Linked DNA regions of Xenopus tropicalis. The protein of the gene in region 1 binds, or shares a complex with, the protein of each later gene. Links are inferred from orthologs where the notes say so. Each region holds a gene or a part of one and is shown in the gene's direction. Other genes may lie near its edges. The genes, in order: tcte1, ccdc153 and efcab2.

Region 1 (10,786 bases):
CTGTGCTTATTGCTCCCAACTCCAATTGCAGGAACAGAGAACAGGGAGCCGGATTTACTCACATCAGCTGGGATTCTCATTGGGGGATTTCTTGCATTTTAATGGGGGAAAGTTTTATTGGGCAGTATTGCTTTAAGAATACAACCCTGATGTTGCTGGACTACAGCTCCCAGCATGCCTCACCCTTCATTATATGTTACATTATTCTGGGATTTGTAGTCCGGCAACAGCTGAGTAACGTTGGGTTGAGCCGCGCTGTGCCGCAGGGTTTAGCTTCCCTTTATTGTTCCAATGTAAATATCAGCAGTAAGTAGAGCGACAGATCATTGCGGTCGCTGTATATAGTGGTACTGTGTAACTGGGTCAGCCCCTTGACTGAGCAGAACCAATATGTGTTCAGTCTCTGTGTCTGTCTCTGTGTCTTTGCCCAGCTCAGCAGATAACATGGGCACGCTTGGCACAGTCACTGGCAGCATAAATGAGTGCACTGGGGCCCTCGGTTGTTGAACTGCAAGTAGCAGCACCCGTGTAGCAGCACCCGTGTAGCAGCACCCGTGTAGCAGCACCCGTGTAGCAGCACCCGTGTAGCAGCACCCGTGTAGCAGCACCCGTGTAGCAGCACCCGTGTTAGTTCGGCGGTTCCAGTTGTAGTTTAGCTCTGTGTTTATCTCTCCCCAGGGAAGTGAAGATGCTGCCAAGAAACGCTCTTGGACCGAGGAGCTGGGGAACCGCCAGTGCAAACAGACTCTGTCGGACCTGGAGGAGCTACTGGGTCAGCTTGAAACTCTGTTCGCCATCACCCCTGTACCCCGCGTTCTGCTGCTGCTGGGGGGGAACCCCGTGAATCCCAAAGAGCTGTACGATATCGACATGGCGGGGGTGAGCGTGGGTAACGGGGAGCAGAGCCTGGGTACCCGGCCGTGTCTGCGCCAGCTGTTCCATGCCCTGTTCCTGGCCGACCCATTCAGCGACCTGCGCGCTACGTCTGTACTGAGTCTGGTGGTGATGGTGCAGGGGCAGCGCCAGTGCGGCACAGACTGGTTCAAGCCCAAGCTGAATTATAAGGTGCCCAGCAGGGGCCACACCCTGACTGTCAGACTGGCATGTACGGACTCTCCGGCCCCGGAACCCACCAGCGGGGATTATATCTGGTTCCAGGCTCCCGTTACAGTCAAGGGCTTTCAGAACTGAACGTCTGGGTTTTTATCTTTGGACCAAGTGTTGCGGTTCTGGCAGGAAAATGGTGCTGCTGTAGGCGAAACCTTGTATTCTGTGAGGAACCTGTGTGCGGGTGGGGGTACCCCTGCTGCTGCATAGGGTTAGTAATGGGGCAGATAGGGGACAGGAAGTGCCCCCCGGGGGTAGGTGCAATACAGGGGGCCCCAGAGTATGGGCTGCCATTCTGCCAGGGCACATCCTGTGTCTGTATCACTGCCTGAAACTCAGCCCCCCCCACCCCAAGGAGAGGCACAACTATAACTCCCTGTATGGCAATAGCCTGAAACTTTCCCTCTGTACAACGAAGCTCGAGCCCCCCCACCCCAAGCCTAAGGAGAGGCACAACTATAACTCTCTGTATGGCAATAGGGTGAAACTTTCCTTCTGTACAAGGAAGCTCGAGCCCCCCCACCCCAAGCCTAAGGAGAGGCACAACTATAACTCTCTGTATGGCAATAGGGTGAAACTTTCCCTCTGTACAAGGAAGCTCGAGCCCCCCCACCCCAAGCCTAAGGAGAGGCACAACTATAACTCCCTGTATGGCAATAGCCTGAAACTTTCCCTCTGTACAAGGAAGCTCGAGCCCCCCCACCCCAAGGAGAGGCACAACTATAACTCCCTGTATGGCAATAGGGTGAAACTTTCCCTCTGTACAAGGAAGCTCGAGCCCCCCCACCCCAAGGAGAGGCACAACTATAACTCCCTGTATGGCAATAGGGTGAAACTTTCCCTCTGTACAAGGAAGCTCGAGCCCCCCCACCCCAAGCCTAAGGAGAGGCACAACTATAACTCTCTGTATGGCAATAGCCTGAAACTTTCCCTCTGTACAAGGAAGCTCGAGCCCCCCCACCCCAAGCCTAAGGAGAGGCACAACTATAACTCTCTCTGTATGGCAATAGCCTGAAACTTTCCCTCTGTACAAGGAAGCTCGAGCCCCCCCACCCCAAGCCTAAGGAGAGGCACAACTATAACTCTCTGTATGGCAATAGCCTGAAACTTTCCCTCTGTACAAGGAAGCTCGAGCCCCCCCACCCCAAGCCTAAGGAGAGGCACAACTATAACTCTCTCTGTATGGCAATAGCCTGAAACTTTCCCTCTGTACAAGGAAGCTCGAGCCCCCCCACCCCAAGCCTAAGGAGAGGCACAACTATAACTCTCTGTATGACAATAGCCTGAAACTTTCCCTCTGTACAAGGAAGCTCGAGCCCCCCCACCCCAAGCCTAAGGAGAGGCACAACTATAACTCTCTGTATGACAATAGCCTGAAACTTTATCCTGACTGGGTCGGCCTGACTCCTGAATGCATATGAACCCCAATAATCTCACTGCCCCCCAAAGGGGAGTAGTCGGGAATGGAGTAAATCCTGTGCCTTATACATAGATACCCCCAGGGTGCTGCTGCGGGGGTCACTATCTGACGTGCCGGGGGCAGCGCTGGGGTCACTAAGGCCTGAACCGCACAGGTTGCACTTTCTCTCCTTGGTTTTTAATGTAAAGTTTTTACTTTTTTTTATTATTATGAAACTAAAGAGAATCTATATTTTTATTAAAGTGACAGGTGCTAAACTTGCTAATATTTAGCAGCCCAAGGAATTTCCCAACATTCTGTCTGTCTGTCTGTCTGTCAGAGACGCACAGTTTAACCCTGTGTCTGTGTATAGAGGCTGCACTATTTCATTTTCTCTGTCTGACCTATGGCATTGGCTTCTTCTAGGAAACTACCTCCTCTGCACCCCCATACTTTGGGACCCACCCTCAAATAAAGGTTTTTATCCAAATCCTCCTGTTTTATGGTATCTCTCTGTACAGGCTATGAGCAAACTTAGGGGGCTGTTCCTGCTGAATTGTGCTTAGTACAGGGGAATCCCTATGTGCCATAGTTTTAGGGTATCTCTCTGTACAGGCTATGAGCAAACTTAGGGGGCTGTTCCTGCTGAATTGTGCTTAGTACAGGGGAATCCCTATGTGCCATAGTTTTATGGTATCTCTCTGTACAGGCTATGAGCAAACTTAGGGGGCTGTTCCTGCTGAATTGTGCTTAGTACAGGGGAATCCCTATGTGCCATAGTTTTATGGTATCTCTCTGTACAGGCTATGAGCAAACTTAGGGGGCTGTTCCTGCTGAATTGTGCTTAGTACAGGGGAATCCCTATGTGCCATAGTTTTATGGTATCTCTCTGTACAGGCTATGAGCAAACTTAGGGGGCTGTTCCTGCTGAATTGTGCTTAGTACAGGGGAATCCCTATGTGCCATAGTTTTATGGTATCTCTCTGTACAGGCTATGAGCAAACTTAGGGGGCTGTTCCTGCTGAATTGTGCTTAGTACAGGGGAATCCCTATGTGCCATAGTTTTATGGTATCTCTCTGTACAGGCTATGGGCAAACTTAGGGGGCTGTTCCTGCTGAATTGTGCTTAGTACAGGGGAATCCCTATGTGCCATAGTTTTATGGTATCTCTCTGTACAGGCTATGGGCAAACTTAGGGGGCTGTTCCTGCTGAATTGTGCTTAGTACAGGGGAATCCCTATGTGCCATAGTTTTACGGTATCTCTCTGTACAGGCTATGGGCAAACTTAGGGGTAACAATATGGCAGATTTTTTACAGATCTCTGCTGGGGGGGGGGGGGGGGGGGGGGGCGTTGCAGTTGGGGGTCAGTGTTAGGGAAGGGAGGGCAGAGAAGGCTCCGTATGGGAGAGGGGGCAGTTAAGAGGTTAAGGGAGGGGTGGGAAGAGATGGGTCAGTATTAGGGGGGCTAAAGTACCCGGACCTGCCAGACCTGGGGGGCCAGACAATAGCAACTTGCCCCAACCCCCGGTCCGACCCTTTTCAGCCCTCGGTGCCGGAACAGAGAGCGGCGAATGGGTTAAAGTGCGGATCATGTTACGCGGTACCCGCCAGGGGGCGCTCCGGGGCAGAATCCGTGCGGGGAAATAGCGCTGCCTGTGTTGCCATGGGAACGGTAAACTCCGGCCGGTAGCAGCCAGGGGAGAGCCGGTACCGCGGTGCTACAGTAAGTCTGTGCCTGGGGATTGGCTGTAGGTAGGTAGGTAGGGGTATGGGGGGCAGGGTAATACGGGAGCCCCCAGCCAAGCTCCCTTACCTCTCACATTGTATTATATGTTCAGCCCTAATGCCCTGTGTCTCACCCTCAGTGTGGGGCCCCTGCCGTAAAGCGAGTTGTTACCTACAAGGCATTCAGTGCAAAGAAATATTTATATGTGTATATGTTCTACTCACCCCAAATAAACACAAAGGCCCTTATAGTCTAACCCTTATAATAATAATAATAATAATAACCCTGTGGGTTCCGGGTATGTGGGCCCTAAGCGCCGGCCCTTACAGTCTAACCCTGTGGGTTCTGGGTATGTGGGCCCTAAGCACCGGCCCTTACAGTCTAACCTTGTGGGTTCTGGGTATGTGGGCCCTAAGCGCCGGCCCTTACAGTCTAACCCTGTGGGTTCCGGGTATGTGGGCCCTAAGCACCGGCCCTTACAGTCTAACCTTGTGGGTTCCCAGTGTGTGGGCCCTAAGCACCGGCCCTTACAGTCTAACCCTGTGGGTTCCGGGTATGTGGGCCCTAAGCACCGGCCCTTACAGTCTAACCCCGTGGGTTCCCAGTGTGTGGGCCCTAAGCACCGGCCCTTACAGTCTAACCCTGTGGGTTCCGGGTATGCGGGCCCTAAGCACCGGCCCTTACAGTCTAACCCTGTGGGTTCTGGGTGTGTGGGCCCTAAGCACCGGCCCTTACAGTCTAACCCTGTGGGTTCTGGGTGTGTGGGCCCTAAGCACCGGCCCTTACAGTCTAACCCTGTGGGTTCTGGGTTCTGGGTATGTGGGCCCTAAGCGCCGGCCCTTACAGTCTAACCCTGTGGGTTCCCAGTGTGTGGGCCCTAAGCACCGGCCCTTACAGTCTAACCCTGTGGGTTCCGGGTATGCGGGCCCTAAGCACCGGCCCTTACAGTCTAACCCTGTGGGTTCCGGGTATGTGGGCCCTAAGCACCGGCCCTTACAGTCTAACCCTGTGGGTTCCGGGTATGTGGGCCCTAAGCGCTGGCCCTTACAGTCTAACCCTGTGGGTTCCGGGTATGTGGGCCCTAAGCGCCGGCCCTTACAGTCTAACCCTGTGGGTTCCGGGTATGCGGGCCCTAAGCACCGGCCCTTACAGTCTAACCCTGTGGGTTCCCAGTGTGTGGGCCCTAAGCACCGGCCCTTACAGTCTAACCCTGTGGGTTCTGGGTGTGTGGGCCCTAAGCATCGGCCCTTACAGTCTAACCCTGTGGGTTCCGGGTATGCGGGCCCTAAGCGCCGGCCCTTACAGTCTAACCCTGTGGGTTCCGGGTATGTGGGCCCTAAGCGCCGGCCCTAACAGTCTAACCCTGTGGGTTCCGGGTATGCGGGCCCTAAGCGCCGGCCCTTACAGTCTAACCCTGTGGGTTCCGGGTATGTGGGCCCTAAGCGCCGGCCCTAACAGTCTAACCCTGTGGGTTCCGGGTATGCGGGCCCTAAGCGCCGGCCCTTACAGTCTAACCCTGTGGGTTCCGGGTGTGTGGGCCCTAAGCACCGGCCCTTACAGTCTAACCCTGTGGGTTCCGGGTATGCGGGCCCTAAGCGCCGGCCCTTACAGTCTAACCCTGTGGGTTCCCAGTGTGTGGGCCGTAAGCACTGGCCCTTACAGTCTAACCCTGTGGGTTCCGGGTATGTGGGCCCTAAGCACCGGCCCTTACAGTCTAACCCTGTGGGTTCCGGGTGTGTGGGCCCTAAGCGCCGGCCCTTACAGTCTAACCTTATGGGTTCCCAGTGTGTGGGCCCTAAGCACCGGCCCTTACAGTCTAACCCTGTGGGTTCCGGGTATGCGGGCCCTAAGCACCCTCTTATCTCTCTGTCCTAACTCACAGGGGTAAAAGCATATACAGTTCCACAACTCACTGCCCATTGGCTCAGCAAGATGATTGAGGCCCCTCCCAGTGTAAGAGGTTTGGTGCCGGCGCCGTTACCAGTGGGGCAAAGAAACCCGGCCGCCGACCCCAGAAGGATGCGCAGAATTATTGCAGAAGATCCAACATGGTCGTTGGCCATTGTCCCCCTGCTCAGCGACCTCTGCCTGCAGCACATCGTCACGAACTTTGCACGTAAGTGGCTCTAGGGCCCCGGGCAGATATGTGTGGGCAATGGGTGGGCAATGTGTAGACAATGGGTGGCCAATGTGTGGGCAATGGGTGGCCAATGTGTAGGCAATGGGTGGCCAATGGGTGGGCAAAGGGTGGGCGATGGGTTCCCAATGGGTGGGCTATGGGTGGGCAAAGGGTGGGCGATGGGTTCCCAATGGGTGGGCGATGGGTGGGCAAAGGGTGGGCGATGGGTTCACAATGGGTGGGCTATGGGTGGGCAATGGGTGGCCAAAGGGTTCCCAATGTGTAGGCAATGGGTGGGCAAAGGGTGGGCAATGGGTTCCCAATGTGTAGGCAATGGGTGGGCAAAGGGTGGGCAATGGGTGGCCAATGGGTGGGCAATGGGTGGCCAATGGGTGGGCAATGGGTTCCCAATGTGTAGGCAATGGGTGGGCAATGGGTTCCCAATGTGTAGGCAATGGGTGGGCAATGGGTGGGCACGGGCCCCTATTCCATTGGTACTTGGTGAATTTGCTTTTCCTCCCCCATCTTATACCAGGGACAGTCACTATTTATTGGGCTGGGGGGGCTGTTTGGGTACTGGAAATATTGGGGCCTATTTTGAGACCAAGTCCGGATCTGCCTGGGGCCCCAATGATACAGGAGTTGGTACCAGGTACTGACGGACCCGACCCAGTGCCCAGCCATGAGGCAGTTACATGGGATTCTCCCACAAGGTTCTGCACTTTTTCTTTAATTTCTCAATGACAGAGAATGAAGGGAATACTGGGGGGGGGGTTCTGTGCGAGTGATTAAATGCCCCCCCCCCGGGCTGTTTTCCATTTACGTCTCCATTTCCAGTCAGTTGTGACCTTTCTATCCCGACTCAGTCTCCTCTCTGGGCCTCAATTATTCATTATCTATTTATAATCCTCTCTCCCGGGGGGGGGGGGGGGGGGGGGGCGTGGGAAGGGGCGGAGCCCACAGGGGGCGCTCACACACACACACAGTTATTAGAAATAAAAGCCCCTCCCTGCTGCAGTGATGGTCTGACTAGTTATCCACTCCCAGTAAGAGGGGACGGCCTATCGTTATGGGCCTTACTCCGGCTCCCAGTAAGAGGGGACGGCCTATCGTTATGGGCCTTACTCCGGCTCCCAGTAAGAGGGGACGGCCTATCGTTATGGGCCTTACTCCGGCTCCCAGTAAGAGGTTATGGGCCTTACTCCGGCTCCCAGTAAGAGGGGACGGCCTATCGTTATGGGCCTTACTCCGGCTCCCAGTAAGAGGGGACGGCCTATCGTTATGGGCCTTACTCCGGCTCCCAGTAAGAGGGGACGGGCCTATCGTTATGGGCCTTACTCCGGCTCCCAGTAAGAGGGACGGCCTATCGTTATGGGCCTTACTCCGGCTCCCAGTAAGAGGGGACGGCCTATCGTTATGGGCCTTACTCCGGCTCCCAGTAAGAGGGGACGGCCTATCGTTATGGGCCTTACTCCGGCTCCCAGTAAGAGGGGACGGCCTATCGTTATGGTCCTTACTCCGGCTCCCAGTAACAGGGGACGGCCTATCGTTATGGGCCTTACTCCGGCTCCCAGTAAGAGGGACGGCCTATCGTTATGGTCCTTACTCCGGCTCCCAGTAAGAGGGGACGGCCTATCGTTATGGTCCTTACTCCGGCTCCCAGTAAGAGGGGACGGCCTATCGTTATGGGCCTTACTCCGGCTCCCAGTAAGAGGGGACGGCCTATCGTTATGGGCCTTACTCCGGCTCCCAGTAAGAGGGGAGGGCCTATCGTTATGGGCCTTACTCCGGCTCCCAGTAAGAGGGGACGGCCTATCGTTATGGGCCTTACTCCGGCTCCCAGTAAGAGGGGACGGCCTATCGTTATGGTCCTTACTCCGGCTCCCAGTAAGAGGGGACGGCCTATCGTTATGGTCCTTACTCCGGCTCCCAGTAAGAGGGGACGGCCTATCGTTATGGGCCTTACTCCGGCTCCCAGTAAGAGGGGACGGCCTATCGTTATGGGCCTTACTCCGGCTCCCAGTAAGAGGGGACGGCCTATCGTTATGGGCCTTACTCAGGCTCCCAGTAAGAGGGGACGGCCTATCGTTATGGGCCTTACTCCGGCTCCCAGTAAGAGGGGACGGCCTATAGTTATGGGCCTTACTCCGGCTCCCAGTAAGAGGGGAGGGCCTATAGTTATGGGCCTTACTCCGGCTCCCAGTAAGAGGGGAGGGCCTATCGTTATGGGCCTTACTCCGGCTCCCAGTAAGAGGGACGGCCTATCGTTATGGTCCTTACTCCGGCTCCCAGTAAGAGGGGACGGCCTATCGTTATGGGCCTTACTCCGGCTCCCAGTAAGAGGGGAGGGCCTATCGTTATGGGCCTTACTCCGGCTCCCAGTAAGAGGGGACGGCCTATCGTTATGGGCCTTACTCCGGCTCCCAGTAAGAGGGGACGGCCTATCGTTATGGTCCTTACTCCGGCTCCCAGTAAGAGGGGACGGCCTATCGTTATGGGCCTTACTCCGGCTCCCAGTAAGAGGGGAGGGCCTATCGTTATGGGCCTTACTCCGGCTCCCAGTAAGAGGGGAGGGCCTATCGTTATGGGCCTTACTCCGGCTCCCAGTAAGAGGGGACGGCCTATCGTTATGGTCCTTACTCCGGCTCCCAGTAAGAGGGGACGGCCTATCGTTATGGTCCTTACTCCGGCTCCCAGTAAGAGGGGACGGCCTATCGTTATGGGCCTTACTCCGGCTCCCAGTAAGAGGGGACGGCCTATCGTTATGGGCCTTACTCCGGCTCCCAGTAAGAGGGGACGGCCTATCGTTATGGGCCTTACTCAGGCTCCCAGTAAGAGGGGACGGCCTATCGTTATGGGCCTTACTCCGGCTCCCAGTAAGAGGGGACGGCCTATAGTTATGGGCCTTACTCCGGCTCCCAGTAAGAGGGGAGGGCCTATAGTTATGGGCCTTACTCCGGCTCCCAGTAAGAGGGGAGGGCCTATCGTTATGGGCCTTACTCCGGCTCCCAGTAAGAGGGGACGGCCTATCGTTATGGGCCTTACTCCGGCTCCCAGTAAGAGGGGTAAGAGGGGCCTAGAGGACAATGGCTGAGAGTGTAGGAGACATATGAGTAGAAGGGGTGGAGAGAGTAGATGGGGAGGAGCCATGGGATGCTTTAGCCACGCCCCCTTTCAGGTGAGTCCATAATAAAGGCATATAATTATTAATGACACTGTCTGTGCAGAGAGACCCACCCTGGAGCGACTGCTGCCGAAGCACCGAGTGAAGGTGTTGGAGCGCCTCTCCCCCTCGCTGCCCCTGCAGGTAACGGCCAATCTGATTGGCTATGAGCAGTACTGGAGGCGGTGCTGCACAGCCCGCTGGCCCGTGTGTGACATCTCCAGCTACGGGGGCAGTTGGAAGAGACTGTTCTTCGAGAGGAACCTGGAACATCTCATTGAGCGCTTCATTCCCGACGTGTCCGACACCGACCCGGTTCTGGAGGCCGCCGAGCTCAGCCGGGACTTTGTGAAGAAACTGGATATCAAGGAGCTTCTGCCCCCCGTCAAGCTGGAAACCAAGAAGGACGCGGAGGAAGACGAGCTTTCCGACACAGGGAGCGAGGCCGGCATAGACCTGCCATCCATGGACCACTTCGACTTGGGGCTCGTAGCCCCTCTCCTGCCCGGCTTGGAAGAGCTCCACCTGGTGTATGGAGTCAGGAACTGCGGCATGAACTTCGAGTGGAACCTGTTCCGCTTTACTGATCGGGACTGTAACTCGCTGGCCCAGGCGCTCCGGGTGTTCAGGAATCTAAAGGTAAAGCTGTGGGGCAAGTAATAGTGACAGGCACCCCTGCTGGGGTAGTTGGGAAGCTTGGGGGCACCATAAGGGTTTCATATAAGGAAAATAATAGGGATGGTGCACATTAAAGGGGTAGTTCACCCTAAATTAACGTTTAATATGATGTAGACATTGATATTCTGATGGTTTTTCAGTGGTTTAGCTTTTTCGTTCAGCAGCTCTCCATCTGGTATTTCAGCAGCTATCTGGTTGCTAGGGTCTTATATACCCTAGCAACCAGGCAGTGGCTTAAATTAGAGATGGGAATATGAATAGGGGAGGGACTGCATAGAAAGATAAGTAATAACAATAAAACTGGAGCCTCACAGAGCAATAGGGTTTGGCTGCCGGGGTCAGTGACCCCCATTTGAAAGCTGCAAAGAGTCAGAAGAAGAAGGGAAATAATTCAAAAACTATAAGAAATAATGAAGACCAATTGAAAAGTTGCTAGGAATAGGCCATTCTATAACATACTAAAAATTAACTTAGTGAACCCCCCCTCAAACTGTAGGGTGGCTCCAGGGTCACTGATAGATTGTCAGCTCTGGGGACTATTAGGTGACCTCATTGGGTTTGCATTGAACCAAGCTTTATATAAGTTGGCTGAT
Region 2 (10,686 bases), on another chromosome or scaffold:
GCTCAAGGCAATATTCTCCAATATTCTGTGTGATCTGTTGTACTAATTTACTGGACAGTTTGTAAACATTAATCTAGTCATCTAAATTATAAATGATTTAGCAATAATATGGAACAAGTAGCACATCTGTCATCATCTTGAATTATATTTAGTACCATGGCCTTAAGCTATTTCAGTTAATTTTGTTAAGGTGGTCATACATGTTAAGATTTGTTTGCTATTTATATAGTCTTCATTCATAGGTGTATAGTTATGTTAGGTGGGGTCCTTCCCTACTAGTCTCACTAGTGTTCCTGTGCTAAGGGTAAGAGAACATGGTTTTACAATAAAATAAGGCAGTGAAGAACTCACATATAATGAGGGGCCTTAGTGTGACAAGTAAACTTAAATATTTTGGGGGATGTGTGGTGCTAATTTTTCAATATTAATTTAATATTTTACATAGGCCATAATTTGTGCATTGGCAATTATTAGTATGTATTAGTTTGCAGGATTGAAATTCCACATGAACCTTTCAAGGGGCACATGGTAGTTTTTTTCTCCAAAATTATTTTCTTCTTGTGCCTTTGCATCTTTCAATCCTATGACTCAGACTATTATATCTCTTTTATAGATATGCCACCAAAGCAGAAGGGAAAATCTCAAAAGAAAAAGGGGAAGAAAACAAAGAATGGAACAAGTAAGAGAAATGAGACTCTCTTCATCGTAGATTTATAAGTATTTGTAGTTCAGTTCTTATGTCTTTTTTTTGGATTTATGCCATAATTCTAATGGATTTTTCCCCCCTCAGGCTCAGTAGACGACCAGTACCGCAAGGCAACGTTGGAAGTTGAAGTTTTACAGAATCACTTGGGTAACAACAAGGAGATAGATTCTGGCCCAAATGAGCTAAGCCTCAGGAGTGAAACAAAATAGGCTAGCAAGGGGTATATTTTTACAAAGGGTAAAAATAGTTTGCCACATTTCACACTCTCACATGTATAGGAGCTTTTTCTAAGGCATGTTTGTCAAGGCTTGACACTAAGAAGTTTATTTTTTCATAAACACTCCCCCCATATATCATTGCAAGTGAATACAGAGCTGTGAAATTTCTCTCTGGTGAACTTCACCCTAGCACTCTCTAAAAGTTTGCCATTACAATGAGGCCGCTTATTCTACATTTACTCATATAATACATAATTATAAAAGTATAAAGCAAATATAAAATAATTCACATATTTAGAATGCACACAACTTATTTTGATCACCAGAACACCGTAGTCAGGATGATAGCATATTTAAAAAGCTTTGCTGTTGTCATTACATGTAAATTAGCATCATACATCGTGACTCGGGATCATCCATTACATAAAGTTATAAAGGTAGGGCTGCCATCGGGGAAATATAGAGGGAACTTTGGTCAGGGGCCCCTAGTTACACAAAGTTATGAATTATCATTTAAAAGTCAATGGGGCACATTCAGGTAGAAGCTGTTGTTTTAAGTTTACAAAATAAACCCAGCCACAAAAGTGTATTGAATAATTTTAGGAAAAGAACAAATCAGGCCATTAACAAGGCCCCAACAGTAAGCAAACAAAGAAAACAAGTTTTTCATGTGCTAGTATAAAGTTATCTAACTTTTTGTGGTGGTGGCACAGGAAAATAAATTGATTCATTTCAGGGCACTGAACTACGATACCTGATGAGGGAAGGTTAAAATACCACTCCAATAGACTGTATTTGCCTGCACTTCCTGGCATATATATTGGATAGCTAACTTTTTAATGTTTGCCTTACTTTATTTTTTGTCATATCATTTTTTTTTTATTTATTTATTTATTTATTTTTAAAGGTTGGTTTTTATTGATTTTTAACAACAATAGAATAGGATAGAAAGAAGAGGGGAGGAAAGGAAAGAAAAAAAGAAGTTGGAGAGTAAACATTCATTATATTGTTGTGGCTGGTGAGTCTGTCCAAGTAGACCAAATGTTTTAAAATTCTGTCGGGCATCTTCTGGTGAGATAGGTAAGTTTGTACAGTTCCACTTGTGAATTGAAGTTAATCCAATTGCGGAGTGATCGGAGTGATGGGGGTGATGGGCCCATCCAGTGCAGAGCAATGTTTTTTTTGGCATAAAAAAGTAGTAGTCTCATTAGTAATTTTGTATTCCTTCTGGGTATCAGAGTGTCTAGGAGACCCAATATACAGGTAGCCGAAGTCCAGTTCTGTTCCCATGAATTCTGTAACCTTGCACCAAAATTTTTGTATTTCAGGGCATTCCCATATTAGGTGCATAAAGTTGCCCATATATCGGTTTTCCCCATGTTATATAACTTTTGTGGGGTGAGGTAGGTCTAATGTATAATTTTAAATTGTATTAACTTGTCTCTTGTGCTTATTAGGGACTGGTACAAGTTATCTGTGACTTCTTCCCAGTCATCGGGATTTAATTGTATCCCAGAGGTCTCCCACTTAAGCTTCACCCTAGGCCGTGGGTCATACCTGTTAGTAATTAAGAGCTTGTAAGTGTTTGAAAGCAGTTTAGATTTGCTGGGTTGAGCTGTCAAGTGTTCTAGATCTAGGTACTGTATATGTGGCGGTTGTTGAAAATGTACTCCACAAAGACGCGTAATCTGACAGGCCGGGTTGGGAGGAAAATTTGTTGTAACAGAGGTAGTGTATGCAGTTCACCGTTTGAGTAAAGGTGGTCAATACGCTTTACCCCTAACCTGGCCCAGGATCCTGCTTCTGGGAAAGATGCAAAGTGCGGTAGGTTGCTTTTCCCCCATAATGGGGTATCAGGGGATATTGCCCCTGTTTTATTCGTTAACTGTGTCATGGTCGTGGCATCTAAGACTGGTAGTAGTGGACTAATGTCCTTCCTTGTTCTATATTGAGCATTGTGTAGGTTTTTTACTGAGGGGATGTAAAGGGCTTCTAGAAATGAGGCTGAGTTCTCAGGGTCAAACAATTTCCAATTTGCAATGTGAGTGCTTTGAGAGGCTAGGTAGTAAAGCTCATAGTTGGGAGATGCTAGTCCTAATTGGTCTTGTGGGGCATTTAGGGTGCTCCTAGGGAGTGTTGGAGATTTGTTTCCCCAAATAAATGTGGTTTGAGTACGGTCTATTTCTAATAGGGTTTTTTTTGGTATGTGACATGGGGTATTACTAAATTGGTAAAGGATTTAGGTAGAAAAATCATTTTGCATATATTTATTCTACCTATTAATGTAAGCGCCAGTTTTGTCCAGTGCCTGATTGTGTCTATAAATTTATTCTGGAGTGGGTGTATAAGGAATTCTGCTGGTTCTTTGTGGATTGTTATCCCCAGATATTTGAAACTATTGGCTACTTTGAGGGTGCATTCGGGGTCTGTCATTAGTGGAATTTGATCGTCTAGGGGGAAAATTATAGATTTTTCCCAGTTAATCTGTAGGCCAGAGAATGTGCCGAAGGATTTGATTATGTCTAGAACTGTTTTAAATGAGTCATGGGGGTCTGCAAGGTATAGCAGTGTGTCATCGGCATATAGAGAGATTTTCTCCTCAGCTGTCTTGCATATAAATCCTTCAATTTGTTGGGAGTGTCTAATTTTGATCGCCATGGGCTCAATCACTAGGGCTAACAATAGTGGGGAGAGGGGGCATCCTTGGCAGCTGCCTCGGGTGAGATTGAATGGGGTAGATAGGATTCCTTTAACTTTGACGGCTGCTTTGGGTTCACTATATAAGTTTAAGCCACTTGACAAAGGAGGGGCCAAATCCCATTCTAGTAACTACCTCCCAGAGAAAGGGCCATTCAATGGAGTCAAATGCTTTGGCTGTATCAAGAGATACTATTATTCTAGAGCCTGTGTTTTCATGCGGTATTTATCATATCATTTTTTAAAGATGTTTTTCATTGCTTTTAATACCAAATGTTAACAAGAAAGAAACAAACAAGATATACATATAAAAGAAAAGAGTAGGTGGGTAAGCTTAATACATCGCCTTTATGTTTATGTATAGAGTTGTCACTAGGGTTACATAGAAAAGAGTGGCATTGCTGCAATATACAGTACTAAACAGTGGTTTTAATGAGAGATGTCCTCAAAGTCCAAAGTGTCCAACCAGCATTGCCAGACCCTGACAGATTTTTCAGGTATACCCCTTTGGTTATATACCAAATGTCCCAACTTGAGGTGTTCTCACAAAAGACCTTTCATACATACCAGTAGTAGGGGAGACCCCAAGGAGCCATTTTTTTGTCATATATAATTCAGAAATATGTAAGGTGGACATAGGTATAAAAAAAACAATGTAGAAAAGTCAGTATTTAATTAAGTAAAATAAATTAGACCAGTGCTTCTCAAACTGTGGGGCCATATTTACTTACAGGGCTTACTTGCAATTTTGGTGAGACCCAAGTGGACCTCTGACATATAGGAATAATTACAGATTATAGTGAATTTCATCTTTTCAGCAGTGGCATATTCAGAACACAATATCTTTGGGAACTCAATTTCGCTACATTTTCAGGGCTAAAGGAGCCCCCAGAAAAACTCTAAAAGTAAATCACATAAACATATGTAAAACATTGTTTCTTAAAACTAAAACCTTTTCATAAAAAAATATACTTTTCTAATAGCATGTGCCATTGGATAATCCCAATTTTAAAAACTGCCATTTTAAGAACTAAGCTCCACCCTCTGGTTCATATGAGGCACTGTGCTGATACACAAACCAAGGGTATGCAGATGTTATATCAGCCACTGAATGAACAGAACTGTGTGTTTTACTCTGTGAGGAAGCAACAAAGACCATCACAAAATGGCGGCTCAGGGGGAAATATATAAAAAAAGCAGTATTTACTGTTGTACATGCAACCTTGGTAAGATTCGTTAAATACTTCATATGACTCTCCTTTCTGACAGCGCTGCGCAGGCAAGTAACACGGCGAACTCAGGAACACAAAGAGGAGCTGCATGCAAAACTGCAAGAGCTGCAGGGAGACCTGGAAGAGGAGAAAAGTGAAAAACAAGCTATATACAGTGGTAAGGAAAGGATCTTCCTTTTTGGTATCAAAGGATAGAATTTCAAATTGACAAGATATAGGCTCAAATTAAACAAGGCCATATGGTGACTAATCAGCTAACTAATAAATCGCTCACATTAGGACGTTTCATAAAACAGTATTAGTAGTTATTACCCACCCAGAAATGGCTGGGTTTCAGTGGATGTAAATTAAAATATTACAATGAAAATTGTAATTTTGGGTCAAGATTGTGCTCTACATAACAGGTTTAATTTTTCCTTTAGTACTGACTGGCTTCATTTTTCTCTGTCACCCTTAGAAATGACACGTCAGCAGCAGGCTTTGGAACAGCAGAGCTCAGCATCTATCCAGGCCCTGAAACAGGAGGTTGCGGAACTGAGGTTACAACTTGGTGAGAATGGAGCGTAGTACTAGACGGCATAAAATGTAGACACACTTATAGAGACATGAAATCTATCCAGAATGCATGGAATCTGGTGTTTTCCAGATCTTCTTTCATTTGGCTCACCGTAGTTAAGTTACATAGTAACAGTAGCATAGTAGTTGAGGTTGAAAAAGTCCATAAGGAAAAATCTGCATTCATTACTTTACGCAGTGTGCAAATGCAATTTCAGGGGCAATTACCATGTTTTTTTCCACAATGCATTTTTTTTCCAGAATTCTGGTGTCATTGTAATGCGGGTGATTTTGTTGGCGCAATTGCGCTCACCTACTGCAGTCGCATCCAATTTGCCAAAATGGATGAAACTGTGTCTTCAGCTTGTTGCAAATTGGGAGCAGTTGCACTGAATATTTTCAAAGTCTGTCTGGTGTAATTTCTAGCATTTGTTGGCATCGTTTTTGGTGTTCAGCGTGCGAATGTCGTGCAATAAGTGCAGCAGAGCCCGATTTGAAACGGAAAGCAGGAAGGACTGAGTGCAACTAGAGGGTAGTGTGAAGAGTGCATTATGACGCAGTTAAATTTAATGAAAGCGGTTCTAAGTCCAAGTAGTTTAAGTGCAAGTTGTCTATTGCGCTTGCAGCTGTAAATGAGCCCTCAGGTATCCCATTCATTACAATTTAATCTCATTTATATCTGCAAATTCCAAATAGGTGTTAAGGCACAAGAAAAGTCGCAACCACTTTGTGTATACAGTTGAACCTGCAATAGTAAATAGCTCTGTCCTCAATTTGCATACTTTACAATGCAAGCCCAATAATGTGTAATTGTGTATGCATCACACTTAGGTGAGTCTCAGCAAGAGCTAAAGGAAGTCCGTGAAGAATTGGAGCACACAAAATCCGAGAAAGAGGATCAAATTATACACCTGCGTAGAGAGGTGGAAAACATGGAGTCAGAATATGAGAATTTGTTGCATGTAAGTTAAATTTATTTGAGCTACGGCAGGAGCGTCACTGCATGTCATTTGGGTGTCAGTTTTTTTTTAATTTTTTTTAAAGCTTTTCTTTTTGCATAGTTTTCAATACAAGGAATACAATTAACAAAAGGGAAGAATGGAAAGGAAAGCAAAGTGAGGCAAAGGCCCCAAATCAAAAAGTGTGTAAATAGGTATATTATACATTCAGATATTTTGCTGTTCAAAGCAGGTTCCCCATATAGCATTGAATTTCTCTGGACGTCTTGCTAAATAATCAGTTTTTGGCTTGGAAGGGAATCATCTACCATCTTTTGACAAACTGAAGAGAAGGGGGATCTAAGAATTTCCAATGCATAAGAATGGCTTTTTTAGCATAGTAAAGCAGTTGTAAGTAGCATGCTCTGGAGTGGGACCAGATGTGTATATCACCTATTACTCCTAGTCAGCATAGGAGTGAATGGATGTTTGGAAAGCCAAGCTTCTCATTGAGAAATGTTAGCACCTCACCCCAGAATCTCTGGATAGCCTGACAAGACCAGAAGCCATGAAACATGGTGCCTATGCCATCGGTGCATTTGGGGCATTGATCAGACACATTATTATAAATTTTTGCCAGACGGTGGGTTGTTGAGTACACTCTGTTTAAAACTTAATCTGTATGTATCTATCCCTCTTTGAGATGGATAAATAAGGAACAAGCTTGAGGGCATCAGACCACATCTCATCCTCTAGCGTGGGTATGTCCCTTTGCCATTTAGTCTATTTTTTTGAAGGGGAGAGGGACCTATTAAAGAAGGTATAATGTAGAACCAGGAGAGGTCTTGTCTATGAAGGTAAGTCTCAAGGGTTTTTTCGGATAACCTTATGGGTCTGGATGGGAATTGTATATTAAAAGCATGCCTAAGTTGCAAGTACCTGAAAAGCATGTCTGGTGTGGATCTCATGCTTTAATAGGTCATAATTCTTGCAGTCGTCCTCTGTAACAATATCCCCTAGAACTCATCTAGCAATATCCTGAAGTGCGTGGAAGTGGGGCAGGTAAATGTTACCCTATATTGGGGTCCTGGGAGTTAGGTGTCAGTTTTAATAGGAAAACTATAAACAGTAATTCTTTTCAGAAAATTCCCTACTTCTCCCCTCTTGCATTTTCCAGTGGTGTAGCTACAAGTACTCTACTGCACCCAGACCCATTGGCTTATGGGAGCCACATTAGAAGAAACCAATAAAACTTCCACTACAGGAAAAAAAACATAGTAGTATGAAGAATCCTTCATGCAGGGGTCAAACAATATAGGTGGACATTGAGGGTGAGGTGTGGAAACTGGTTCTTATTAGAGGCATAGATGTTTGGAGTGGTAAAGTAGATGCCCTAACTGATTTTAGTATCAGAAACATGCCTTTACCTTCCCCTCTTTTCATTCCACTCTCCGTGTTTTCCATTGTTCAAATTTCCACCATTCTCCTTTTTCCATTGTGTTTTCCTTTAACATTCAGATTTTCTCTTCCCCAACCTTGTTTTTGGGTTTTTCTTTTTTTTTGGTCTCCTCTTTTCTGCTTTCCGATCTGCTGCGCTCTTCTACTTAACACTGTTTTGGTGTCTTTTTTTAATTAATATCTACTTTTTCTACTGTTTTGTGTTTATTCTGTTTTTTCCCCTCCCTTTCATCTTTTGGCCAGTGCTGCATATCAGTATTTAATTGATGACTTCAACATAACTCTTGGTGTCAGGCAAAACACAATATTCACAGTGTTATTGGGATCAGCTGTCCACCCCGCTAGTTCCTAATAGCTGAACACTAAGCTTCCTCTGCAAGTAGTATGTAGTTCTTCCCTGGAGAACTCTATCTCAGATCCACAGTCTGGTGGCTCTGCTTAAAGGAAAAATAAAGTCAAAGTCACTTGGGGGTGCCAAAATGTTAGGCACCCCCAAGTGACTTTGACCGCCTACTTTTTACCCCGGGCTGGTGCCCCTGTGAGGAAGGAACAGCACCAGCCCGGGGTAGCTGCCGGCGCTTCCTTTTCCTGATTCGCTGCGCGCGCATGCGCAGTAGAGTGAAAAGCCGAACTTAAATGTTAAAGTCGGCTTTTCACTCTACTGCGCATGCGCCCACCGCTGGCACTCAGGAAAAGGAAGCGAGGAAGACGGAAGCGCTGCGCTCCAGGTGCCCCGGGCTGGTGCTGTTTTCTCCTAACAGGGGCACCAGCCCGGGGTACGAGGTAAGCGGTTAAAGTCACTTGGGGGTGCCTAACATTTTGGCACCCCCAAGTGACTTTGACTTTCGTTTCCCTTTAAGGAATGCTCTTTATAGAATAAAAACTTGTTGATTTGTTTGCAGTAAATGAAATGTGGAAAAATAAAGCAGATTTGTCCTGTTGGACATGAGTGATTAGGGTGCAATTAGTGGAACATGGGTACTAGACTTGGGCCTCTTGTTTTGTTTTGTTATCCTCCCACCCACTTCCAAACCATACCCTTAGGGGCAGATTTACTAATCCACGAATGGTCCGAAGGCGTCCAAATGCATTTTTTTGTAATGATTGGTATTTTTGCGACTTTTTCGTATGTTCCGCAGCTTTTTCGGCGTTGTCGCGAAAATTCGTATTGGTTTTTCCGCCATCCACTCAATACGAAAAAATAGCGATGGCGACGAATTAGTCATGCAAAATACGATAAAGTCGCAGCGGCAACGAAAAATACGAAAAAGTTGCGCCGGCGACGAAAAGGCGGCGAAATTTTTGTTTACAATCCGAATTTTTGCCATTCGGGATTCGAATTCGTGCTTTGGTAAATCTGCCCCTTAGTCTTAACCCCTTTCTTAATTCCTACATTTAAATTGTGTGTTGCTGTGGCTAGTTTCTTGTTAAGTATATCTTGCTTAGTATATTTATGTGAGGCTAAAGGCTTATGGATCTCTCAGACAACTCACAAATGTTATAAAATAGATTCAGTAATAAGCAGTGTGTATGCCAACATTAGCATCTTTTGAATGGCTTCCTCATCTGTTTAATAAGTACCAGAAAGTTGCCTACCATAATACCATAAAGTTGTACACAGTATATACAAATATAAATTTCACGATACATGGCAGATTAGTAATCTATTCAGATTTACATTACATGGAAGCTCTGAAACTAGTGCAATTAGCATCATCTTATATTACAGACAATCCTAATTTTCTGCTTGATAATTTGCAGTGACCCCTAAGCTTAGTTTCTTAACAGCTGCTCAGAGTGCACTGAGCATGTGAGTGTCGCAGACACTTTCCAAGATGGGGACATCCTGTGACAACTGGATCATTGCTGCTATTGAGATTCTGAATCTTTAGACTGGTGCAGTAAATTCAGTATATAAAATATAGCATTTTAAGCCACATTCATTTGCAGGGTTTAGTTTTCCTTTAATTAGCTGAAAGGCAGCAGGATGGACATACCTCACATTAATGCTAATTATATCTGTCAGTTATTACATTGTGTCATAATAGAAGTAATTACATGACACAGGTTTCCCTCTGTGTAGTTTGTGCACTAAACTGCTAAAGTACTCAGTAAACCAGTGTTTTGTCATATCTTGGGAGCCTCTGACTTGAGAATTAATCTAAGTTCTAATCTGTGTGTGTTTCTTATTTTTTGTACATCTTTCTTCCTGAGTTTCATACTATTGTGTCTTTTCATATTTTGTTTCTGCTTTCTTCATGCTCATTACACTTGAGGTTTATCCGTATCAATCCACAACTGTTTTTTTGGCTAAGTTTTAGATCTATAAACCTTTTCCAAACATTCTGCATCCTTTATGTAAATTTGACTTTTTCTCCTGCCTTTAATATTCCTTCTATGACTTTCAATGCATACTTCCTTAATCTGTGCTGTGTTTTATCAAAGTATGGGTTTAGGGGCTTATATTGATTATTTGTGACTAAATACAGTGTCTTCGTTTTTCAAAATATAGAATTTTACCTATTACAACATTGGGCCAAAAATTCACAATAATCACTCTTTTTGTATATGTGTATTTGTGTGTGCAGAAATGCTGGACACAACAGTACCGCTACCACTATTATTATTAGTACTAGTGGTAGTATTTATTAACCTTAGAATATCTGAAGTATTTCCCCAGCTCACTTTTCTCCTTTCTGTCCTAGTCCTGCCTGGATCATCTTCTATCAAAGCTCAATGTGGCAGAACTCCAGTGGAAAGATCAGGCCTTGTCTATCCATCAACAACACAAACAGATGTTACAGGACTATGGATTGAACCCTCTGGACTTCTGACTAGTGATCTATAACACAATAGATATTGTGCAGTCGCGCATATGTAGA
Region 3 (10,786 bases), about 50 Mb from region 1:
GTACAATTGCGTTGCCGCAACACGTCTCCCCCACCCAAATGGCTTCATTTGTACTGCATATATCCCCTCCCTTTGCTTGCACCATCACATTTTCCTAAACTAAATAACAGCTTTCACCTGGTGGCCATTTTTCCTCTGATACATATTTAGATACATTTAAATCTGCAAACAGCATACACACACACAGACCCTTAATCAGCATACATTTAATCAAGAATACAGGCTCACACAGGCACACAACTGTCTCTGATAAAAGTTCTGCTTTGTTTGAGCTGAGCTCAGGAGAGTTGGTTGGGAGAAAATATTGAAGCAGACAGCTAGAGCTGAGTTTCTATGGGAACCAGCAATGCCATCTCTTCACTGGCTGCTAGACTGGGGGGCGTGTTTAGTAATCTGAGCTTAGAACAACTGAGCATGCCCACAAGCCAACAGCCAAAGCAAATTCCTAAGGGAGGGGGCCGAGTGAGAAGGAGAAGCAAATCTGTGTGTGATTAAGGGGATGTTGCAGCCTTACTATTAAAGGAGAAGGAAAGGCCAAGTCACTTGGGGGTGCTAAAATGTTAAGCACCCCCAAGTAACTTTAATCGCTTACCTTGTACCCCGGGCTGGTGCCCCTGTTAAGAGAAAACAGCACCAGCCCGCGGTACCTGTAGCGAGCTCTTCCTCCTCCCGGCTTCATTTCGATGAGACTAACACAATAGGCGCATGCGCAGTAGAGTGAAAAGCCAACGTCTCTGTTAAAGTTCGGCTTTTCACTCTACTGCGCAAGCGCGGGCAAGCGATACAGGAAGGAGGAAACGCTGCAGGTACCTCGGGCTGGTGCTGTTCTCTCTGAACAGGGGCACCAGCCCGGGGTACAAGGTAGGCGATTCAAGTCACTTGGGGGTGCCTAACATTTTGGCACCACTAAGTGACTTTGCCTTTCCTTCTCCTTTAACCTCTGGACAACCAGTGTGGTAGGTATTGAAAGATTTCAAAGAGGCTGTTCACTGTTTACATTTTTGTGTGTGGGGTTTACATGTCCTTTAAAAAACAAAGAATGTGAAGAACCACAACTAACAGGAGCATAAAAACATAAAAGAGGGGGATTGGGAACACCAGAAGCAGAAGAGTGAACCACGGTACCAGAGAAAACAGTATAACTTGCCAGAATATATATAAATGAGAAAAACAATATTTTATTAACCCATTCTCCTTCCAAAAAGAGTGGTAGTTACCTTCATAGGGTTATTGAGCTCTTCTTCTTCACGTTCTTTTTGAAACCTCTTTTCTTCCTCCTCTATCAATTTTTCTGCTTGAAAGTTGCGAGTTGCTCCATGTTCCATTGCATAATCTGTGTTTTCAGGGTCTGTCTGTGTGGAAAAAACTAAATGTTATAGGATAAAAAAAAACAACCAAAAAGATAATACATGCAGTAAACATAATAATGGTGTAACACATTTATTGACATGTCCATACAGGGAAATACAGGGAGATGTATTCACCCAAATATGGCAATGCCACTTCCCATATAGTTCAAACAACACTGACTTTATTGTAAACAAAGCTAGTATAAATCCAGACTAATGTGTTTGTCAGTAGCTAAGGGTAATTGCACAAGATGTGCAGAATTTTTGTCACCTCGGTGAATGAGGGGGATGACACAACACTGCATAGCTCACACCCATTCAAGTGAATGTAAAATGCCACATTTGCAGCTTGTTCTGCTTATGATCAGGCGTGGATTGGTTATATTTTCATTGTATTCAACATGCTAAATTATTTTACAAAACACACATTTCAGTAGGTCATGGCCATTTATAAGGATATTTTGTACAGGAGATTAACGGCCCTTGTGTATTATTATAAATAAATATATATGTGTGTGTGTCCATAGTCAGTCTAGCCTTGGGTACACGGTCAATATGTAATATAAAGCTTTCAGAAGGACCAGAACTCCATTCTTGAATTATACTGTTTTATTTAACACCACTTTGAATCCAACGTTTTGGCCCACATTAGAGCCTTTATCAAGCATGCTTCTATCGTACTACTTTAGGATCCTTGATAAAAGTCCATATACACAGTGATGTTAAAACTTTATAATTCATTAACTGGAGTGCTGGTCCTTCAAAAATATCCTCCAAATATAAGGTTTACTTTATTACCTTAAAAGTGATCTCAGCTAGGCAACGTGTACACTTAATATAGAAACGGAAAATAGGGAGCCCCAGATACAGTTCATTTTGCACAGTTTCTTTTCTAGCATTGAACTTCTTCCCCTTGTAAATATACTCTCCACAAGTCTTACACCTGCAAAGACATTGACGAAGAAATAAAATTACTTACTCTGGACAATTCGATGAAAAACAGTATAAAAAATATTTCAGTGGGTTACTCCTTAAACACCACTCACATGCACTCACCTCATATTAAATGGTGCCATCAGACGAACCACATACTGGCGATCTTTTGGAAGCTTTAACTTTGGGATTTTAGATGGATCAAAATCTGGAGGGTAATATTTCTAAAACAGATAAAAAGTTAAAATGAAATCATTTTATAACAATAAGAGCAAATAATTTATAATTATTTATAACAGTAAACAATTTATAGGCTCGATAAATGAATGATTGGTTGCCTTAGAAGATAACCTGAAAAATATATATGATATCACCATATATGGAAGGATGCAGAGCTCTGACAGCCTCCCTATGGTAAACATTGTGGACGTTGGGGGAAAAACAATGCCAAAGACTGCAAATGCTTTACACAGCATACAAGTAAGTCCTTGGAATATTAAGTACGTTCAAATACAGCTGATGTACTGCATGCATATATCGACCACTAGTACTATGTTTCCAGAAAAAAATGTCAATATATTTCAGTGAAATAAAATCAAACGCTTTGATTAAAAGCTTATTATAAAATAGTTAACTGGAAAATATGTATAAACTTAAATTTATTATTTGTAAAAGAAAAATGCACGAACGGTCCATAATGGAGAAGGACCTCAGAGTCTTTGTAGATAATAAACTTGGCTGTAGCAAGCAATGCCAGGCAGCAGCTGCAAGGTTTTGAGCTGTATCAAAAGGTGCATAGCTTCACGGGAGGAGGGGGTTATTCTTCCCCTTTACAGAGCGCTGGTAAGGCCCCATCTAGAATATGCTGTTCAATTTTGGTCTCCAGTGCTCAAACGGGGCATTATTGAATTAGAGAGGGTCCAGAGAAGGGCAGCTTAGATTGTTAAGCGTATGGAAAGTCTCAGTTATGAAGAAAGACTAGCAAAGTTCGGTCTGTTTACACTGGAGATGAGGCACAGAGGTGACATGATAACTATGTATAAATATATAAGGGGATCATATAATAACCTCTCTAAAGCTTTATTTACCAGTAGGTCCTTCTAACTGACACAAGGGCACCCACTCCATTTAGAAGAAAGGAGGTTCTGTTTAAATATTCGGAAAGGATTTTTTTACTGTGAGAGCTGTGAAGTTGTGGAATTCCATACTTGAACCACTCCTACTGGCTGATACATTAGTTATCTTCAAGAAGGGGTTGGATGGCTTTTTAGCAAGTGAGGGAATACAGGGTTATGGGAGATAGCTCTTAGTACAAGTTGATCCAGGGACTGGTCCGATTGCCATCTTGGAGTCAGGAAAGAATTTTTCCCCCTCTGCAGCAAATTAGAGAGGCTTCAGATGGGGTTTTGTGCCTTCCACTGGATCAACTAGCAGTTATGCAAGTTATATATAAGCATTACGTTTAACTTGGTGGCCATATGTCCTTTTTCAACCTAACTTACTATGTTATTATGTGTCATCTATATCAGTGGTACCTAAACTGACCAAGTGGCTAGGGGGACCAAGTCTGCAAGCCAGTTAGTGTAAGACCTAAGATCTAAGGGTAAGGCCTAGATCTTCCTCAGTTAAGTGACAATTTATTTCCTGGATACTCATGGCTGATACAGCAGTGTCTTCATATATCTGTACATATATAGGTGTCATTACATATAGCAAGAAATGTAAGAATTCATAAGCTGGGCTTTTAATTACAGTTTACATCTTCATAACATAGACATCAAAGTACCTTCAGCATGTTTTTTAACGTGACCCTGACAACTGATATTAGTAGTACGCACTATAAACTGACTATATTCTGTGTTAACCAGTTTCCAGTGCCATCGCTGTTAGCTCTAGGCCCATATCATACAAACCATTTTGCTACACAGGGGACATGCTGATTTAGCTGCCCCATGTGTAATCCGCCTGTTACTGCACACTAGCCAGATTTTGCCAGAGAACGTTTATTATGATTATAATAGTTATGCATTTTAGCTGAACTCTGCACGTATGTGGAATGACCAAGCTTTTTAAACAAGATGCTTCTGGCATAGGAAGCAAGATTTGTCTTGCTTTAAATGTACAATATAATAATTGAATTTCATACTGGTGACCTTGCAGCCTACCCCTGAAGCTGACAGAGTGGAATGCTGGAACTACTGACCCAGCAGAGTTGTCTTCACTTCAGCCTTTACTACTTTGATAACTTCTCTTAGTATTAATTATATAACATGTAACATATGTAATATCCCTCATACGTAATAAAAGTTACAAGTATGCCAGGGTGAAGAAAGCCATATTTTGCGTTAAAAAAAAGTGACCAGCAAATGCTACTTGCTGATTGGTTGCATTAGGTAACAAGTCATGTACAGAATTTTGCACCTTTTATAACACAATCCTCAGAGTTTTTACTGACGCACCACGTCTTTATTAGTGAGTGCTGTTTACATATCTTCAACCGGTCTATCCCTTAACCAAGCGCCTCCTGTCCCTTTCCCCAAGTCCCTTCTTACTATTACGTACATTTAAGACTTTCCGCTCAGACATTGTTACTCTTCACTCCTCTGTAGCTGTATTTTCCAAATGGCGCAGATCAATGACGTCACGCTCCAGCCGCTCGCAGGAACAAGCAGCTAGGAAGTGTTTTATATTCACGCACGTCATCTCAGCGCCACCAGGTGGTCAAATGACTTGGGTTGTGCAGTCACCTAGCAACCAGATACAAAAATGACTGATGAGAAGGAGGCCGCTGGTAAGTTAATGCTCCATAACAAAATGTAAAAAACAGATAAAAATAGCGAGACGAGGAGAGGGAAGGAGAAGGGGAAATTAACAGAGACTTGGTCTGAACCCTGTTAGAAAATCAATAGAAACGAGTAAAGTACATTCTACAAATAATCGCCTGTTCATCTTTATGGGTGACTAAAATACTGGGTGCATTTTAGATAGAGTATCAATTAACCTATTGGTACAATTTGGAATAGAATTTTAGTATTGATATACTGCAGGCAGCAGAATGTGCTATAATCCTAGGCAGGGCTGCCATCAGAACTCACAGGCCCCATACAACACAATTAGCAGGATCTGTTGTCCAGCCAGTGGGCATCTAAGCTTTTGTTCGATCAGTACATCAGACCTAGTGAAGTGAAGGGGGGGAATCAAAGGCAAGGGATTATATTTATGTTAAACAAAAAAAAAACCTGTATGGATTTTTTTAATAAATTTATATTAAAAAATATTGTCTTTTTCATAAAGAACCTGGCACCATAAGGGCTCTTAGATTTTTCACTTTACTTCCCCTTAAAAAATGTACTGCAATTCCCATTCTCTGATAACGTAAGGGGGCCGTGCAGGTGTAGGTATGTAGGTGTGTACCTAAGGATATCCTAAAATTGTACTGATCACACCAGTCACATCCCTGTTACTAGGATTGGCTTCTGTGCAAGATAGTTATAATCAAAACTTTGGAATTTAGCACCCATTACTATTATACCTCATCTCAATACTGTTGGCTAAAAACAAACCCTGAAATGTAAGCAAGAGACAATGAGCTACTATAAGTTGCTGTAATGAAGTAAGTTATTCTGATCAGTGCAAGATATAGGAAAACTGTAAAAGTAATAAATGCAAAAAAAAGCACCAAATTACATTTTTAATGTGTGTTAAAAAAGCTAGTAGCTTATGTTCTGTTTTCTATCCATTATAGTCAGTGCCAAAGCCAATTAATCCATTTCCTTAATTCAAGCGTTTAGGTTATGGTGTGAACAGACATACTGTATATGAGCAACAGAGAATACCACCGTACAGGGCAGCCTTGAGGGCAAATAGTTGTCCTGGTGTTTTTTATGGTCATAGGAGCGCAGGCCACGCTGCACTTGGATTACCAGGGCCCCCTGCAGTCAGTGACCAGCAGCCTTCAGAACACAGGACTAGCGCTCCAGTGCCAGCTTCTTATTATCTCATACAGCTTTCTGTAAGCTCATTTGCCAATAAAGTTTAAGTCCCGGAAAAGGTGCATGGTGATTGAATGGGCTGGAAGGGACCCATCCAATCCCCATGCAGAATTACCAGGATTTAGAGTTCTGTGGTAAATGAGCAGTAAAGGAGATACAGGCACCCAGGTTCCTGTCCTTTGCTACCCGATTCTGCAGCTCTCACAGCAGCACGGCCGGGCCCCCCTTAAACCTCAAAACCCACCGGGCCCAGGACTGTCCTCCCTGGCGGCGGCCCTGGTTCTAAGGCTGTTTCAGCGCAATCTGAGAATAGGCAATGCACCACCATTCTCTTTCTGAACCTGTGTGTGCACTGACAGGCATGTGACATATAAATATATGTATTTTCATGCCAAAATCTTTGTGTGTGCTAAAGAGGTGATCCGTTGCACTTGAAGTGGTGACAGATGGTTCTCCACACAGATGGAGCTCAAATAGTCATATTAGTAATGGAAACAGTGTATAACTGTAAAGCATGTCACTATGCCTGCTAATCCATTAATGCATCTAATTATTTTCTTACACATATTTTTTCAGAATCTCTAGTGACAGATTTACAGAAAAAAATTACAGAAGCCTTTGAGGTTTTTGACCATGAATGTAACAAAACTGTTGATGTCAGGTAAACATAACATTTTCCCTGTAGTTTTTTTTTGTAGAATGCTGGGTAAACAGGAGAAAGACAGCTGTACAAGCTTTCAGTTCCTAAAGCTGCCATTTTTATTATTTAATGCAATCTCAAAAGTGTGTGTGCTTTGGTAATCATTTTCTTTGTATTGTGTAAAAAAAAACAACACACTAAACAAGCAAAACCTTACTTTGTCAAGAGTTCTCATTAAAAAAAGTATACAATATGCACATTATTTATTTTATTTATTATTTTTTAAAGCTATTAGACTAATTAAGATTTTTTTTACATTAACAGGATATAAAAGCTAACCCTAACCCTGTTTTATTTTAAAGTTTCATGCATTAACTGTGCTACTTTTGTAACAGAGAGATTGGAACAATCATAAGGTCTTTAGAATGTTGCCCAACAGAAGGCGAACTCCATGATATGATTGCAGAGGTAAGGTTTTAAAAACAAGTTAAAGAGTACAGAACTATATGCACTTATTGTGCCCATATCAATAAAAACTGAAAAATTGCAGCTGTAAAAGTAAAAATATTTTTATATTTATTCTGACCTATTATTGCCTAAGAAGAGATAAAACCTTTGTATGTCTTATCTTGCTGTGTAAAATAACTCCCACGTTTAAGATGTAGCTGAGAAAGTTTTTGCCTGTTAAAGGCAACAAGAATTCTGCGAGTCTTTGTTAGCATGTTCAGCCAATAGAGGGCACTGTTTTATTAAAGTCTGTTTCTAAAATGTTACATTTTCTAAACAAAAAATAGTATGGCAACTCTGAGCAACTATAAATGAACATCAATATATAGACACATTAGGCATCCTATACAAAATATACCAGTTTTCATTAACATTTAAAGGAGAAGGAAAGGTAAAAACTAAGTAAGCTTTATCAGAAAGCTCTATGTTAATACAGCCATAAGCACTCACAGAAACACTGCACTGAGTCCTCATCAAAAGAAACACATGATTTATTGTCTCCTTTTTTGTAAACATGGTCTAAGAGTGTATGACTTCCTCTCTCAGAAAAATCCTTCATTCCAGGGGCCAGAGTCTGCACAGTTCTCTCCTCTCTCCTGCTCTCCCCTCCCATAAGAATTCATGAAACTGACTCCCCCCACCCTTAGGAATGTGTAATCTGAGCTATAGCGGCTAAACTGCAAGCAGGAAGCTATGAAGACCAAGCTAAAATGGCAGCTGCTGTCTTAAACAAACAGAGAAAGCTTCTAGGGCTCTTTACTCAGTTATGGTAATGCTTTCTGCAGAATAAATATAGCATTCTAGGTGGCACTAATGTGGCGAATCTATTGGCAGTAAAATGCCAAACTGACTTTCCTTCTCCTTTAAATGTAAAGTTTTTTCTTAACTAAATACTCTGCATCACATTATTTGCTAAAAATATAGCCATGTGTTTTGTGATTTTGAACGCAATAAACCTTGCTGTCCCATGGAATGTAATTATGACAGGAAATATTTTTTTTAAATAAAATTGATTTATTATTTTTACATTTCTTAATCTCTTTTTTCAAATATGGTTTATTATTTACATTTATATTCCTTGCCTTTTAGGTAGAAGAAGAAGAACCTACAGGGTACATTCGTTTTGAAAAATTCCTCCCCATGATGACTAAGGCATTAATGGAGAGAAGGTATACATTTCATTAGGTGCTTTCATGTGCTTTACACCAGCTTTATGGTGGCATTAGGTAAAGGGTGTCTTGGCACAGCCATTAGCCTAATGTCTTCGTATTTGCAGACCCAAAACAATACTTCAGTTATGACAAGGGTGCAATCCTCTGATGAATATATTATATATGTGGGGGAATGGTTGGATGCATACTGTATGTTTTAGATTCAGTTAGAACTGCACTGGACTGTAATCCTGGGCCCCCTCCCCACAGGAGCTGCTGTGTATGGTTTTTACACTCCTCTCTAGAGTTTATTTTTCTGCTGATTTATATAAAGATACCTGCCAAACTGATTAAGATGTAGAAAGAAAAACTTGTTTTTTAATTGTTGTACATGATGCAAATTTAGGTCTTTCTATAATTTTCCTTTGTGGTTTGCAGGTATAGACCCATTCCTGAAGATATTCTTCTCCGAGCCTTTGAGGTTGGTGTTTTATTGTTATGTTTTAATAGGCAATAAAGAGTGTTACCAGGCAGAGCTAATCAGCTCTATTTACTAATTTCCAGGTTTTAGATGAAAAGAAAAAGGGATACCTCACTAGAGAAGAACTTGTCAAATATATGACTGAAGAAGGTACAGTTATACACAAAGTGTTTATTTTGAGACAGTGCTAATCTAGAAATAAATATTTTTGAATCATGAAACACTTGCACAGACTGTGTGTCTTATTGTCTCAGGTGAACCATTCACACAAGAGGAGATGGAAGAGATGGTGTCAGCTGCAGTGGATCCAGAGAAGAATGTTGTTCCATACAGAGAGTATGCTGCAATGATGACCATTGATGATTATTGATAATAAGTCAGTTTAAAAAAAACAGGAGGCATTTTAAAACACGTACATAGTACAATTATATATAAAGTGGTGTTTTTTAGACTTGAAGACTTTAAATTCCCACTTGAAGACTTTGAATTCCCACAGACTGCCCAGTTTTTTCAGTGGCCATGCACAGGCAGATCTAAGCTGCCAAATTGGCCCCTTTAGACCAATTCAGCAGCTTATCTGCCTGTATATAGGGCCTCAAGGTTGAAAGATCTTCACGTGTATGGCCAGCTTTACATAGTGCACCCTAATGAGCCTTTGGCAATCAATACCAAAAACAGGACCAGAAACATGTATCTATTTTTTCAAGTTAGAAGGTTATATTTGAGACAGTGGTTCACTGAACAGGCATTCACATATATAAAAAATGAACATAGACATAAACATAAATATTTTTTTGTAATATAAATGTTTTTAACAAATAAGGTTTATAATAAAACAAATGATTATCAGATGATACTCTAGCCAATTTTTTGTTAAATATAAGTGCCCAAGAGCATTTCAATGCATTTCATGCTATTGAAGTGCATGCTAATAATGTCTAAATGTATACATTGCATATATATATATATATATATATATATATATATATATATTTGCATATTTAAAAGGTATACTCTCATGGGAAAACACACGGACTATGCCTCATTGTGTCAAAACCCATGATCCACCCAAACCCTGTCCCCTTGCTACCACAAATAACACCTCTGTGTTTCTTGGGACCCCCTTTGCCACTGACCTTTGAATGAAGTACCCACCTCTGATTTCAGACCTGCTCCTAAATTAAATTTAATTTCACAGCGAGTGGAAGAGAGAACTTTAGCTCCAAACACATTATATACAGAAACCAGTAATGGGTCCTGACCTTGAGACCGCCCCCTTACTCTTTTAAAAAGCAGGTTACCTGAAGGCTGGAAAATGTTACAGTATCCTTCAGGTCAGCTCAGAAATTGTCTGCATTGCTAAATATTATGGGTACTATAATAGGATTAAGCAGGATAAAAAAACAAGTGTCCCATTTTTAGGGCTCTGGCACACGGGGAGATTAGTCGCCCGTGACAAATCTCCCTGTTCGCGGGCAACTAATCTCCCCGGATTGCCATCCCACCGGGGAAAATGTAAGTGGCTGGTGGGATGACACACGCTGCGCAGGCGATTTGTCGCGGGTGACTAATCTCCCCGTGTGCCAGAGCCCTTAGAGGGCTTGTCCTAAGTTGGCCCCTGTCCCTTCAAAAAGATTAGGTACTATATCTTGAGAACTGGGGCAAAGCAACAGCAGGCCCGGACTAGTAATCTGTGTATCTTGGAAAATACCAAAGGGGCTGCTGTAAGATGC

What was found.
Region 2: tcte1 (region 1) and ccdc153 share a complex: the UniProt entries of both Homo sapiens proteins name them as parts of the nexin-dynein regulatory complex. The link is inferred for Xenopus tropicalis from reciprocal best matches to the Homo sapiens genes DRC5 and DRC12.
Region 3: tcte1 (region 1) and efcab2 share a complex: the UniProt entries of both Homo sapiens proteins name them as parts of the nexin-dynein regulatory complex. The link is inferred for Xenopus tropicalis from reciprocal best matches to the Homo sapiens genes DRC5 and DRC8.

The regions. Positions count from the first base shown.
Region 1 is NC_030681.2:2,400,576-2,411,361, reverse strand, and holds the start of tcte1 (dynein regulatory complex subunit 5), read left to right. Parts: upstream 1-4,142; 5' UTR 4,143-4,230; exon of another isoform or gene 4,231-4,259; intron 4,260-6,115; 5' UTR 6,116-6,165; coding exon 6,166-6,349; intron 6,350-9,579; coding exon 9,580-10,154; intron 10,155-10,786. Other genes in the region: mad2l1bp (MAD2L1-binding protein), read left to right, coding at 679-1,191. UniProt on the Homo sapiens protein: Component of the nexin-dynein regulatory complex (N-DRC) a key regulator of ciliary/flagellar motility which maintains the alignment and integrity of the distal axoneme and regulates microtubule sliding in motile axonemes.
Region 2 is NC_030683.2:80,330,014-80,340,699, forward strand, and holds part of ccdc153 (coiled-coil domain-containing protein 153), read left to right. Parts: intron 1-613; 5' UTR 614-615; coding exon 616-679; intron 680-790; coding exon 791-853; intron 854-4,890; coding exon 4,891-5,010; intron 5,011-5,310; coding exon 5,311-5,403; intron 5,404-6,239; coding exon 6,240-6,370; intron 6,371-10,509; coding exon 10,510-10,638; 3' UTR 10,639-10,686. UniProt on the Homo sapiens protein: Component of the nexin-dynein regulatory complex (N-DRC), a key regulator of ciliary/flagellar motility which maintains the alignment and integrity of the distal axoneme and regulates microtubule sliding in motile axonemes.
Region 3 is NC_030681.2:51,983,727-51,994,512, reverse strand, and holds efcab2 (dynein regulatory complex protein 8), read left to right. Parts: upstream 1-4,990; 5' UTR 4,991-5,048; coding exon 5,049-5,073; intron 5,074-6,850; coding exon 6,851-6,935; intron 6,936-7,309; coding exon 7,310-7,382; intron 7,383-8,510; coding exon 8,511-8,590; intron 8,591-9,010; coding exon 9,011-9,053; intron 9,054-9,136; coding exon 9,137-9,203; intron 9,204-9,307; coding exon 9,308-9,423; 3' UTR 9,424-9,904; downstream 9,905-10,786. Other genes in the region: splicing factor YJU2, read right to left, coding at 1,218-1,352, 2,148-2,292, 2,406-2,506, 4,845-4,868. UniProt on the Homo sapiens protein: Component of the nexin-dynein regulatory complex (N-DRC), a key regulator of ciliary/flagellar motility which maintains the alignment and integrity of the distal axoneme and regulates microtubule sliding in motile axonemes.